3 linked regions of the Xenopus tropicalis genome follow. The protein of the gene in region 3 purifies or fractionates together with the protein of the main gene of each other region. This does not show direct contact. Links are inferred from orthologs where the notes say so. Each region holds a gene or a part of one and is shown on either strand. Other genes may lie near its edges. The genes, in order: med13l, med16 and cdk8.

Region 1 (3,655 bases), on a different chromosome or scaffold from region 3:
TGGCAGTATACAGAAAAAGCTAAAGACTTCAAGTGCTGAATGTAGGAGACCACTTCATCATTTACAGTCTGCAGAAGAGAATGGCAGGGAACCACCTGAAAAAGAGAGTAGGGTAAGATATTGTTGATGACCACAAATTTTTAATTAAATACAAGGATGCTAAACATTTATGGTAGACCCCCAAGTGAATTCAGTCAGTAAGTTTTTTCCCCAGGCTAGTGCTCTTTTTAGGAAAAATAAGAGAAGCACCAGCCCAGGGAAAAAAGTAGCAAAGCTCCACCATTTTACTTGCTATTCCCAGGTGTCCCTGGCACAAACTTAGACTCATGCATGAGCAGTAGAGTACAATACGAACAGTTTTACTCGACACATCTGCGTGTCTATGTCTGCTGACAGTTGCCTGGGAAAATAGTAAAATGTCGACAAAGTTGCCGTACAATATGGGTGCCACTGTATACAGATCTTTTAAATAATAATCATTTCTTTGCCACCACCCCCCTATATTATAAGTGTCACTGCAAGCAAGCGCGATTCAAGTCTTGAGAAAAGTCTTATAAAAGCTCTATGTGAAAAGCACATAAAGGTTATGGTAACACACATAAAAAACAAACAATGTTTACCTGAAGTATGCAAGCTGATCGAAGTGGCTCTGGTAAACTCTCCAGCATGTCAGTAAAACATCTGATCAGGCCAAGCATCCAGTAGTTCCCAGGGTGGCAGTCTTCATCCACTGTGTATGTAAATGGATCCACCATGTATATAACTACTGTTGGACAAGAACTGAGTGCTCCAGCTGGTTCTGGTTCTGTGGGAATGCCAATTTTCTCCCGCTCAGTGGCACTGTTAATGTAAAAGAGACAATACAAGCTGTATATTATATGTTTAAAAATCCTTCTAAATTAAACAAAGCAAAATATCCTTTGAATCATAAAAATATTTGACAGGATTTTACTAATATTATTATTAAAAAAGTCTATTTACAGTGCATATAAAAGAAAAAATAAGCAATACAAAAATACTAAAAACGAATACATGTATGTATGTATAACTTTATTTATAAAGACCCAAAAGGGTACGCAGCGCTGTACAATCTTACAATACACAGAATTACACAGAAGGAGGACAAGTGATATAATAAATAAATACAATAAATATATAAATGCACAGGGAATAAGTGCCATGTGGTATGAGACACAGTAGGAAGGAGGTACCTGCCCCGTAGAGCTTACAATCTAAGTGGTTGGGTAACATACAAGCACAAATTGGAAGGTAAGAGTGCACCAGGTATGGGCATTTTCCCTTAAGCGCAGGACTAGGCAAAATGTTTTAGTGCTCCAGAAGGTAACAGCTGAGCTTTTTCTTAAAGAGAGTGGGTGAGAGTTCCCTATGGAGGGATTCAGGGATAGAGTTCCAGAGGTAAGGAGCAGCAAGACAGAAAGGTTTAAGACGAGAGAGCGCAGTGGGTGTGAATGGTGTAAAAAGACGGAGGCTCTGAGAGGAGCGGAGGTGACGACCAGGAACATGCAGGGAGACCAGTGAAGAAATGTAGCGAGGAGCAAAGGAGTGAAGGGCTTTGAATGTTAGGATTTTGTAAGCAATCCTTTGCTTAACAGGCAGCCATGCAAGAGAGCTTAAGTGAGGCTGAACAGGTTCCCTCTTTGGAGAGAGCAGAAGGATCCTGGCAGCAGAGTTTAAGATTGATTGCAGGGGAGAGAGGTGGGAGTCTGGGAGGCAAGTTAGTAGGAGATTGCAGTAATCTAAGCGGGAAAGGATAAGGGCAATTTCTGCTGAAACATGCTACTGTCTTTGGAGTCATGTGGGATACTGCATAGAAAGCCTTAAAAGCTTTTTGCTGCTACTGCTAATCAGGCCCAAAGTGAAGACACATAAACATGCATATATATGTCAGCAATAATTTAGTGATGCCTAATGTGTATGAATCTCTAGGTACAGGAGTGAATTGTCTGACTTACTGACTGCAGTGGAAATGTCAGTGTTCTCTCACCCAGTTTCAAAAGTACATTTTTACAGTTCTTACAAAGCTTCTTTTTTTGTTTTCCATATCCCCTTCTAAGAACTGACTACCAGGTTTTTCATATAACTGCTGTTGTGTTGGGCAAGAAGTCAAATATTTAATTTCATTTTAATACAGCATCTGTACTTACTTTTCTGGGGTCTCTTGCTGCATGGACTGCTGGCTAGGCTCTGGGTCTCCTGTGGTCTGGTTTCCTAATGGTCGCTCCACAATACTTGAAGTGTTCTGTGATGGGCAGTTATTGAACCCAGTGGGTACTGTGCTGTTTCCAGCAGGAAGAGATGTGGAGGAGGATAGAGGTGGTGGTGGTAAAGGAGTAGTACTTGTGCCATTAGGAGTGGTGTTAAAAAGAACACCAGTAGGACAAGACGGCACAGCTGGGCTTGAGCTGGTTTGTACCGTAGGTGGCTGGTTCTTAGGAGGTAATAACAGGCTGCTGTCTAGTTGCAATGTGGATAAGTAAGGAGCTAAAACAGAAAAAGACAATGGGCATTAGCAAAACTTACACATCCATGTCATAACATCAATGTAAGGTTCCAGCTAATCCCTTTTGTACAGCGCATATAATAAACAGCAATTGTGACTTTTTATTTTCCTCTCGTGTTTATTAAAAGAGTTATAGTAACTACAAATTACAACTATGGGATCTATTATTCAGAAACCCATTATCCAAAACGCTGAAAAAGAAGCAATGAATTTGCCCACAGTACTTTATTTTAACAAACTACAAACGGTCCACTTTTGCTTAATGTGCTAGTTCACAATAGTATAACAAATGGCATAATGTTAAGGAGTCAGCCCACCGACAAAAATTTTTTTTACATTATCACATGGTGGAGTGAGAGTGGTTCACACCTTTAGTCAAACTCAACCCCCTTTCCCCTCCATCACCTGCTGATGGTGAGCGGCAAAAGGTCAGAAATATCCTTTCTAAATATTAGAGAAAAAAGGTGATCGGTATTCTGTGGCATTATATTAACAAACACATATACTGTTACAAGGTGCAGGTATGGGATCAGAGTTATCTGGAAACCTGTTATTCAGAAAGCTCAGATTTACGGGAAGGCAGTCTCCCATAGACTCCATTTTAAGCAAATAGTTAAAAATTTTTAATGTACAGTACCTTGTACTTGATAGCGACTAATTATTAATCCATATTGGTGGGTTTAAATAATGTTTAAATTATTTTTTTAGTACAAATCTAAGTTACAGAAAGACCCCTTATGCTGAAAACCCCAGGTCCCAAGCATTCTGGATAACCGGTCCCAAAACTGTAATTGTATTTGAATCACCTCACAAGTGCTTGTCAGGTTTTTGTTGCCTATATATAACATGGCACTCAAATTGCCTGAAACCAGCCTCTGCCCCACACCTCTAAAAAAAAATAAATAACCTGGACCATTATTAAAACAAAGATCAAGCTGGTTTTTACAGCCCCACACCTCTAAAAAAATAAATAACCTGGACCATTATTAAAACAAAGATCAAGCTGGTTTTTACAGTGGGTTGGAAAACAGCGAGAGAACCTCACAAACTGTTTTATCAAAAAAATAAAGAATAATGGACAAAAACTAAATCTGGTGCAGTATGCAGATGGGAAGTTATCTGGCTCACCAAGAT
Region 2 (3,655 bases), on a different chromosome or scaffold from region 3:
CGTTGTCGTGTGGCACTTGCAGACATTGCATTTACTGGTGGTGGAAACATTGTTGTGGCCACATGTGATGGGAGCAGCACATCCCCAGTACAGTTCTACAAAGTTTGTGTTTCTGTAGTAAGTGAAAAGTGCAAAATCGACACAGAGATACTTCCTTCTCTCTTTATGCGCTGTACAACTGACCCTGCACGCAAGGACAAGTTCCCAGCTGTGACGCACCTTAAATTCCTTGCGCGGGATATGTCTGAACAGGTGAGAAGAAAAGTTGTTACGGGGTGGGTAAACGTTCGGATTATTTTTTTTTTTTAACTTCAAGCTCCCTGAAATTGCCCACCCGTAGGTGGGGATATCGGGGGAAGATCCACTCGCTTGGTGATTTCGCCAAGCGAGCGGATCTTACCGTGTATGGGGACCTTTAGTTCCCTTAAACCAGAGGGCTTCAGTACATAGTAGGGAGGCTAATTTGAGGGTGAGATTTGGGAGTACATGCTTAGTTGTTGCCCTGAAACTATAGCAGGGTGACTGCTTCGCCAATGTTTCTGTTTATCATTAACTTAGTAATGACCTAAGGGGCCCACCCGTGCTGATTCATTGTGGTTTAAGTTCTTACTATAGGAATATAGGGTAACTATAATAAAAAAAATCTTCATGTATTTGAATTTGAAGGGAACAGCTTAAAGGAGAATACACAAGAGCTGGTATGGGCTGTGAACATGAACTGTAGAGCAGTAGCGCATGTGCACAGCCCAGGGCTGAAGTAAAGACAGCAAAGAAGATAGCAGAGCAGTGCTACTAGACTACTTCCCTAGACTGGTGCATTTTTCAGTGAAAAGGAGCACCAGCCCAGTGTCTGAGGCAAGCAATTATAATCACTGAGGGGTGTCAAATTGGCATCCCTGGTGATTAAACCTTTGCTTGTCGTTTAAAGGCATCAGCATTAAGGACTAAAGGATAAGGATAAATAAATGTTTTGGACACACAGAACTTACAGTGTTTTGTCCATCTGATTTAGGTTTTACTCTGTGCTTCCAATCAGTGTTCCAGCATAGCTGAGTGCTGGTCTCTTCGGAAAGAGGGTCTTCCACTTAATAATATATTCCAGCAGCTATCCCCTGCAGGTAAGTATTTTAATATCTTCCTGTTACTCCTAAACATTTTATCCTCAGTTAGATGCTTCACTTACTCCAAAATGTATCATTGCATAATTTCTCCACATTCCTCTCAAGCCTAAAACACCTTTCACTCTTGCAGTAAGTGACAAGCAGCCCATGATCCTGAAGTGGCGTATCCTCTCAGCCACCAATGAGTTAGAGCGTGTTTCTGCTGTGGCTCTGCCCAAGCTACCAATTTCTCTCACAAATACTGACATCAAGGTTGCAAGTGAAACCAAGTTTTACCCTGGGCTTGGTAAGTTATTACCCACTAGTTTATTTTGATCTGCAAAGAAATTGGATACACTTCTTTTATTTAAGACACTTAATCAATCACTGTTTTTACAGGTCTAGCATTGGCATTCCATGATGGAAATGTTCAGATTGTTCATAGACTTTCCCTGCAGCCAATGGCAGTTTTGTATGGATCATCTCTGCGGCCTTCTGAGGAACCCAGCTTAAAACGGCAGCGTTCGCCTACCCCTTGCATTCATTTTAAAGCTTTGCAGATGTCGTGGACCTCGCTTGCTTTGGTTGGGCTAGATACACAGGGCAAGGTCAGCGTTAAAGATTTTACTGCTAATATTAGGCAGGTCGGAATGACAGTGTTCTGTTTTAAAAAAAAGCCCCAAATAACAATTTTGATGGTATAAAAACAGTAAGGATGGGTCAGGTAGTAGAGTTTGGTGTTAGAGGTTAAATTGATCTACAGTTATCTGTAGCATAAGCATAATCGTAAATATATTTAAAATTCAAAAACGGTGCCTTTATGAATAATACAAAATGATAAGATCAGTTTGCACCTCAGCCATAGATGTATTTAAAACATAACACCAGTGACTGCTGGAGGACCCAGTTGATATTGATAGCTTTCTAGGACACTGAAATAGTTTTTATAAATTTGCAATGTTGAGTGGAGTCTAATTTATGTTTATTATTTTATGGTGCCCAGTAACTTCTAGTTACATCACAGCCTTTTGCTACACTAAAACAAAGACACTGGCATCAAAGAATATGATTAAACTGATATTACAAAAAATCCTGGCCCATATAATCACAGTGAATTTCTTTATGGTGCTGTTGTATTTGTGTGACCTTTGATCTTTCCCCACAGCTAAGTATGCTACGAGTCTCTCCTTCTATGGGGCATTCCTTGGATATGTCAACATCCCTACGTCACCTGCTTTTCTTGTTGGAATACTGCATGGTGACTGGATATGACTGGTGGGATATACTGCTCCATGTTCAGCCTGGCATGGTACATAATTTAGTGGAAAAGTTAAACGAGGAATACACTAGGCAGAATGCGGCACTTCAACAGGTAAATGCCATGCAGAGGTGCAGTGGCCTTATAGATCATAGTGTTTATAGACCACAGATATGGAGATATTATGTGTAGAGATGTTATATTAGTAACATGCACTTACATAAATACTATTTAATTGATCAAAAACCCCTCTGCTGAAACTACCTAGCTTTAATATTAGTTTCATCTACTCTCTTGCTTTTTAAAGTGGACATACATGCCATGACTACACACAGTATTGGAATAATTATACAAGGAACCATACACAATATGACTGCCTCTGTAATGTTCTGTTAGTATATAGGCCTACAGCTCAAATTATTAGAATATCAGGAAGTGAGGAGGAGGTAGCTGCTGCTTTTATAGTGGGAGTAGTCGAAACACAATAATCTGCAGTAGATGGTTCTCTTTCTTTATTAAGATGGGGCTTAAATTAGACATTGCCATTTACTAGAGTACCAATATGTAACATCTCTGATCTTGTCGTGTTAGGTTCTTTCCACTCGGATTCTGGCCATGAAGGCGTCTCTATGTAAGCTGTCTCAAACCACTGTAACTCGTGTCTGTGATTATCATGCAAAGCTCTTCCTCATCTCTATCAGTTGTACCTTAAAATCTCTACTTCGTCCTCATGTTCTCAATACTCCTGACAAGAGTCCTGGAGATCGGCTTACTGAGATCTGCAACAAGTTCACCGATACTGGTGAGTGGCAGGAATAGAAATCCTTTGATGAAATAATCATACACAGGCAGAGAAAAGCTGCTGTCTCCGCTCTTCAGGCAATGTTGATTGCTAATTAGCCCATGTATGGTAGTGACAACCGACCAGAGGTTTAAAAATTTCATTCATACAATGACCACATTTAAATATTGATCATATATTGGTCATTTTCCAACTGATTTCCATAGGCTCCGTTATAATCTGGTTATTGGTTTAGGGCTCAAACATCAGCCCGATCTGACCCACCAAGTATATAATGTATACTTTTGTACATTCTCTCTCTCTACACAGATATAGACAAGGTTATGATTAACTTGAAGACAGAAGAGTTTGTGCTGGACATGCCAACCCTTCAGTCACTTCAGCAGCTTATACAGTGGCTTGGTGATTTTGTACTTTATCTGCTGGCCAGCCTACCAAATCAGGTAAAATTTTTTGATTTTTAGTTGACTGCATTGGCTGGATACTTTTCCTTTT
Region 3 (3,755 bases):
GCACCTATTTGCATGGGGGCCGCTGTGCTCGACACTAACCCCCATATGTAATTAAAGGCACAGAGTTTGCCCAAGAGCAGTAACCCATGGCAACCAATAAGATGTTTGCTTTTAAACAAGTAACCAGTAAAAGCTGCCTGCAGATTGGTTGCTATATGTTACTGCTCCTGGGCCTTTTATTACATAAGTCCCTTAGGGACTTTTTTTTTTTTGTATAGTGTGTAAGCCAACATCAGCGGTGGTGTTCCCCAGGCACCCAATCAGCAATTAGATTTGACCAGTCACCTACAAGTTACAAAACAAAAGCAAAGATCTGATTGGTTGGTATGGGCAACATCACCTGTCATGTTGGCGTAAACACTATAATAAATATGCCACTAAATGCTTTGTTCTACATCCACTTTAAAGGAAGTATTTTTTCTGGCTCTTTTATGGTAGGAATAAATCTATAAGCTACACTTGCACATGGAAACCACATTTTCAGTACAAAAATAGGAACCCTAGGTAATTTTGATATGAGTAAAGCAGTTGTTTTTCCTCTTAGTGCACTTTGTTATTTTGATTTACAGAGAGTCATTGCGGGTAACTGAGCTCCTGAGCCTTGGAGTTCATTGTATTCACCCTGCATTTGGGCAAGAGTGCACTAACTGGAAATAGAATGGAAATACAGTTCTCTGCTTTACTTGGCCGCTTCTGAATGCAGAGAGTAGAGACAGATCATTGAGCTTTAACTTTTATTCATCAATTTGCTGTGGATCTTCAGTTTGTTTTTTTTTTTCCCTTTATGGTTTTTGAATTATTTAGCATTAGTGCAGCACATCTCCAGTTTAGAATGTCTAGGGTCCAGTTAAGCCTAGCAACAGTGGTTTATAGCAGAGACTGCAAGGTTAATAAAGGAGCGCCTGAATAAGATAGATCAGTGCTGTCCAACTTCTGCGGTGCCGAGGGCCGGAATTTCTCGCGCATACATGGCGGAGGGCCACTAATGGAAGCCACTCCCCCCTTTAAACCACACCCACCCATGGCCTGTGTGTGCCATACTCTGCCCTACCCTGCCTGTGTGCCATACTCTACCTGCCATATGCTGCCTGTGTGTGCGCCATACTCTGCCCTACCCTGCCTGTGTGTGCCATAGTCTGCCTGCCCTACCCTGCCTGTGTGTGCCATAGTCTGCCTGCCCTACCCTGCCTGAGTGTGCCATACTCTGCCTGCCCTACCCTGCCTGTGTGTTCAATACCCTCCCTGTCCTATGCTGCCTGTTTGTGCCATACCCTCCCTGCCCCATGCTGCCTATGTGCCATACTCTGCCTACCCTATGCTGCCTACACACAGGCCTGAGGTGTGAAGAGGTGAACAATGTGGGTGATTACAGCCTGAGCCTGAGGTGTGAACACTGCAGGGGGTAAACAATGCATAGATTAAAAGGTGTGAACAGTACAGGGGATTACATATTTAAACAATACAGGGGGATTACAGCCTGAATCTGAGGTGAGAACCATGCAGGGGGCAGTTAATCTCAGTACTGATACCATTTAATGCTTATACAAGGGTAAACCATCAAAGCAGCCAGACAGGTGGGGGGCCACACAGAGGGGGGCCGCCAGTTGGACAGCACTGAGATAGATGAAGGATAAGTCAAAATAGTAAGTAACAATAACATTGTAGCCTCACAGAGCAATATGTTTTTGGCTGATTGGGGCAATGACCCCCATTTGAAAGAAAAGCAGAAGAAGAATGCAACTGTTGCCAAAACAAAAAGAGATATAATAGAGATATAATATAATATTTCTATACTAAAAGGTAGCCTAAAGGTGAACTTGCCCTTTTACATGCTTTCAGGGTGCACTGCATTTAAAGCACTCATGGTTACTTGTCCCATGCCGACAGGGCCGTATTTACCATAAGTGGCCCTTGGGCACCTATATGGTAAACAGAAGACATGGGGTAAACAATCTCCACAGCCTGAGACACTGGGCAGTGAAAGGGCAGAGATGGCAGGCTGAGGTTGGTGCCTAGGGCAGGACTAAATACAGCCGTCAGTGGCCAACACTTGAACAAAATGCAATAATACATATGCAGTATTGTTATTTTTCTGCTTCAGTGCCTGCTGTCTCTGCTGTGATTGACATTTCAATACCCATAGCATTTAAATGTCCATTATAGGAATGGAATTATTATTTATAGACATGTACTCTGTATTATCATCTGTTTTATCAGTTCTATAGAGCCCCAATCCCCCCCATTCTTTTTAAATAACAGCTTTTTTTTCCCTTGTGATCTTACTTTTCCTTGAAGCGTTCCAATCCACATGCTGCTTATCAAAACCCTGGACCAAGCACATCACAACCTCAGAGCAGCATGGGGTATTCGTCTACCTCCCAGCAGCCTCCGCAGTACTCCCATCAGACCCACCGGTACTGAGCTGTACCCAAGGGAAACAACATCACAAAGTCAATGCACTGTTGCTTTGGCTGCAGGACTGAGCATGTAGCTGTCTGCCTGAAGCCTGGCTTTGGAATGTACTGTACAACCACACCTTCAAAATGTCCAGCAGCCAAGTTACACAACATTTCAGAGAATGTAGACCCCCCCCCCCCCCATGTGAAGGTTAAGAGTGCTAGCTCAGTTGGCGCAGTCGTGGATTTGCTACTTCCATAGTTTACTTGAATATGGTTCAAACTGACCAATGCATATTCTCTTCAGTGATGGTAGCAGTTGAAGCTGTGAAGTATGTTAGGAACAAACACTTTGTTTTTCATGGTGACTTCTCACAATATGATCTGACCAATAAGAAACGGTCTTCTCTGGTATGGACATTAACCAGCACGCTAAATCGTACTGCTGTTCTGTTTGCTACACGTTTCTTTCTGTATAGTTTTCAGGTGATACCAGATGATCACCTCCATCAGTGTTTTATAACCAGCAAATCTTGTTCCTCCGACACCTTCCCCCTAAACAAAAAGCAACAACGAAAAAAAAGCAACGTTTGGCCTTTATTTCCCCTTTACGAGCCTCCCAAAGATTCTATTTCAGCATAGGTTTTTAAGGACTTTTTAACTTGACTAGTATTAAAGCTGCTATCTGATATTAAATATACCAACCTGTTTGCAGAGGCAAACAAGGGCAACCGATCATCATCAACTTTTTTTTTGTTTGTTTTGTTTTTCCCCCCTGTTGGTGTTGCTGAATTGTGAGCATGCTATGGAGTTCTGACTAAATAAAAAGCAAAAAAAAAATAGTGAAAACAGAAAAAAAAGAAAAAATTGGTAATGAAATAATTGCCTCGCGAGGGTCGAGGCGCCTGTCCGGATCCTGTAAGCTGGCTTGGTGTAGTGTATTTCAATTCAACTCCCTCTTTTTCATTTTGTGGCCCCGCCCCTCATCCATAGGGTCGTCTCTGTTGGAGAATAAAAGGTAGAAAGGCCTTAGAATTTACAAGGATACAAAACTGTAACATACAATGTACTGTATCAGACTATTTTACATTAATGACAAGTATTCTGATTAAAAAAAAAAAAAAGAATTCAACATTGTTAACGCAAGGTGTTAAGTAATAAATTTATTTTTCATAAAACAATCTGTGTGTGGGGTTTTTTTGGGGGTTTTTTTTTGTGTTTTTTTCAGTGTGATGCTGTATAAATTGGAGATGTTTAAAGGGAGACCTACATGTTGCGAAGAAACCCAGAGAGGCGACTTTGGGCTGCTCCAGAGAGTGAAGGCAATGCATACAGTGGCTTGCAAAAGTATTCGGCCCC

The links.
Region 1: the proteins of cdk8 (region 3) and med13l purify together in Homo sapiens (affinity purification with mass spectrometry; 6 studies listed by BioGRID and IntAct, counting the BioPlex papers as one, with this or other methods). This does not show direct contact. The link is inferred for Xenopus tropicalis from reciprocal best matches to the Homo sapiens genes CDK8 and MED13L.
Region 2: the proteins of cdk8 (region 3) and med16 purify together in Homo sapiens (affinity purification with mass spectrometry; 10 studies listed by BioGRID and IntAct, counting the BioPlex papers as one, with this or other methods). This does not show direct contact. The link is inferred for Xenopus tropicalis from reciprocal best matches to the Homo sapiens genes CDK8 and MED16.

Annotation. Positions count from the first base shown.
Region 1 is NC_030677.2:145,408,494-145,412,148, reverse strand, and holds part of med13l (mediator of RNA polymerase II transcription subunit 13-like), read right to left. Parts: coding exon 3,650-3,655; intron 2,503-3,649; coding exon 2,166-2,502; intron 841-2,165; coding exon 621-840; intron 96-620; coding exon 1-95. UniProt on the Homo sapiens protein: Component of the Mediator complex, a coactivator involved in the regulated transcription of nearly all RNA polymerase II-dependent genes.
Region 2 is NC_030677.2:100,796,090-100,799,744, forward strand, and holds part of med16 (mediator of RNA polymerase II transcription subunit 16), read left to right. Parts: coding exon 1-252; intron 253-1,012; coding exon 1,013-1,118; intron 1,119-1,251; coding exon 1,252-1,407; intron 1,408-1,499; coding exon 1,500-1,708; intron 1,709-2,265; coding exon 2,266-2,472; intron 2,473-2,949; coding exon 2,950-3,160; intron 3,161-3,469; coding exon 3,470-3,603; intron 3,604-3,655. UniProt on the Homo sapiens protein: Component of the Mediator complex, a coactivator involved in the regulated transcription of nearly all RNA polymerase II-dependent genes.
Region 3 is NC_030678.2:155,758,951-155,762,705, reverse strand, and holds the end of cdk8 (cyclin-dependent kinase 8), read left to right. Parts: intron 1-2,295; coding exon 2,296-2,421; 3' UTR 2,422-3,256; downstream 3,257-3,755.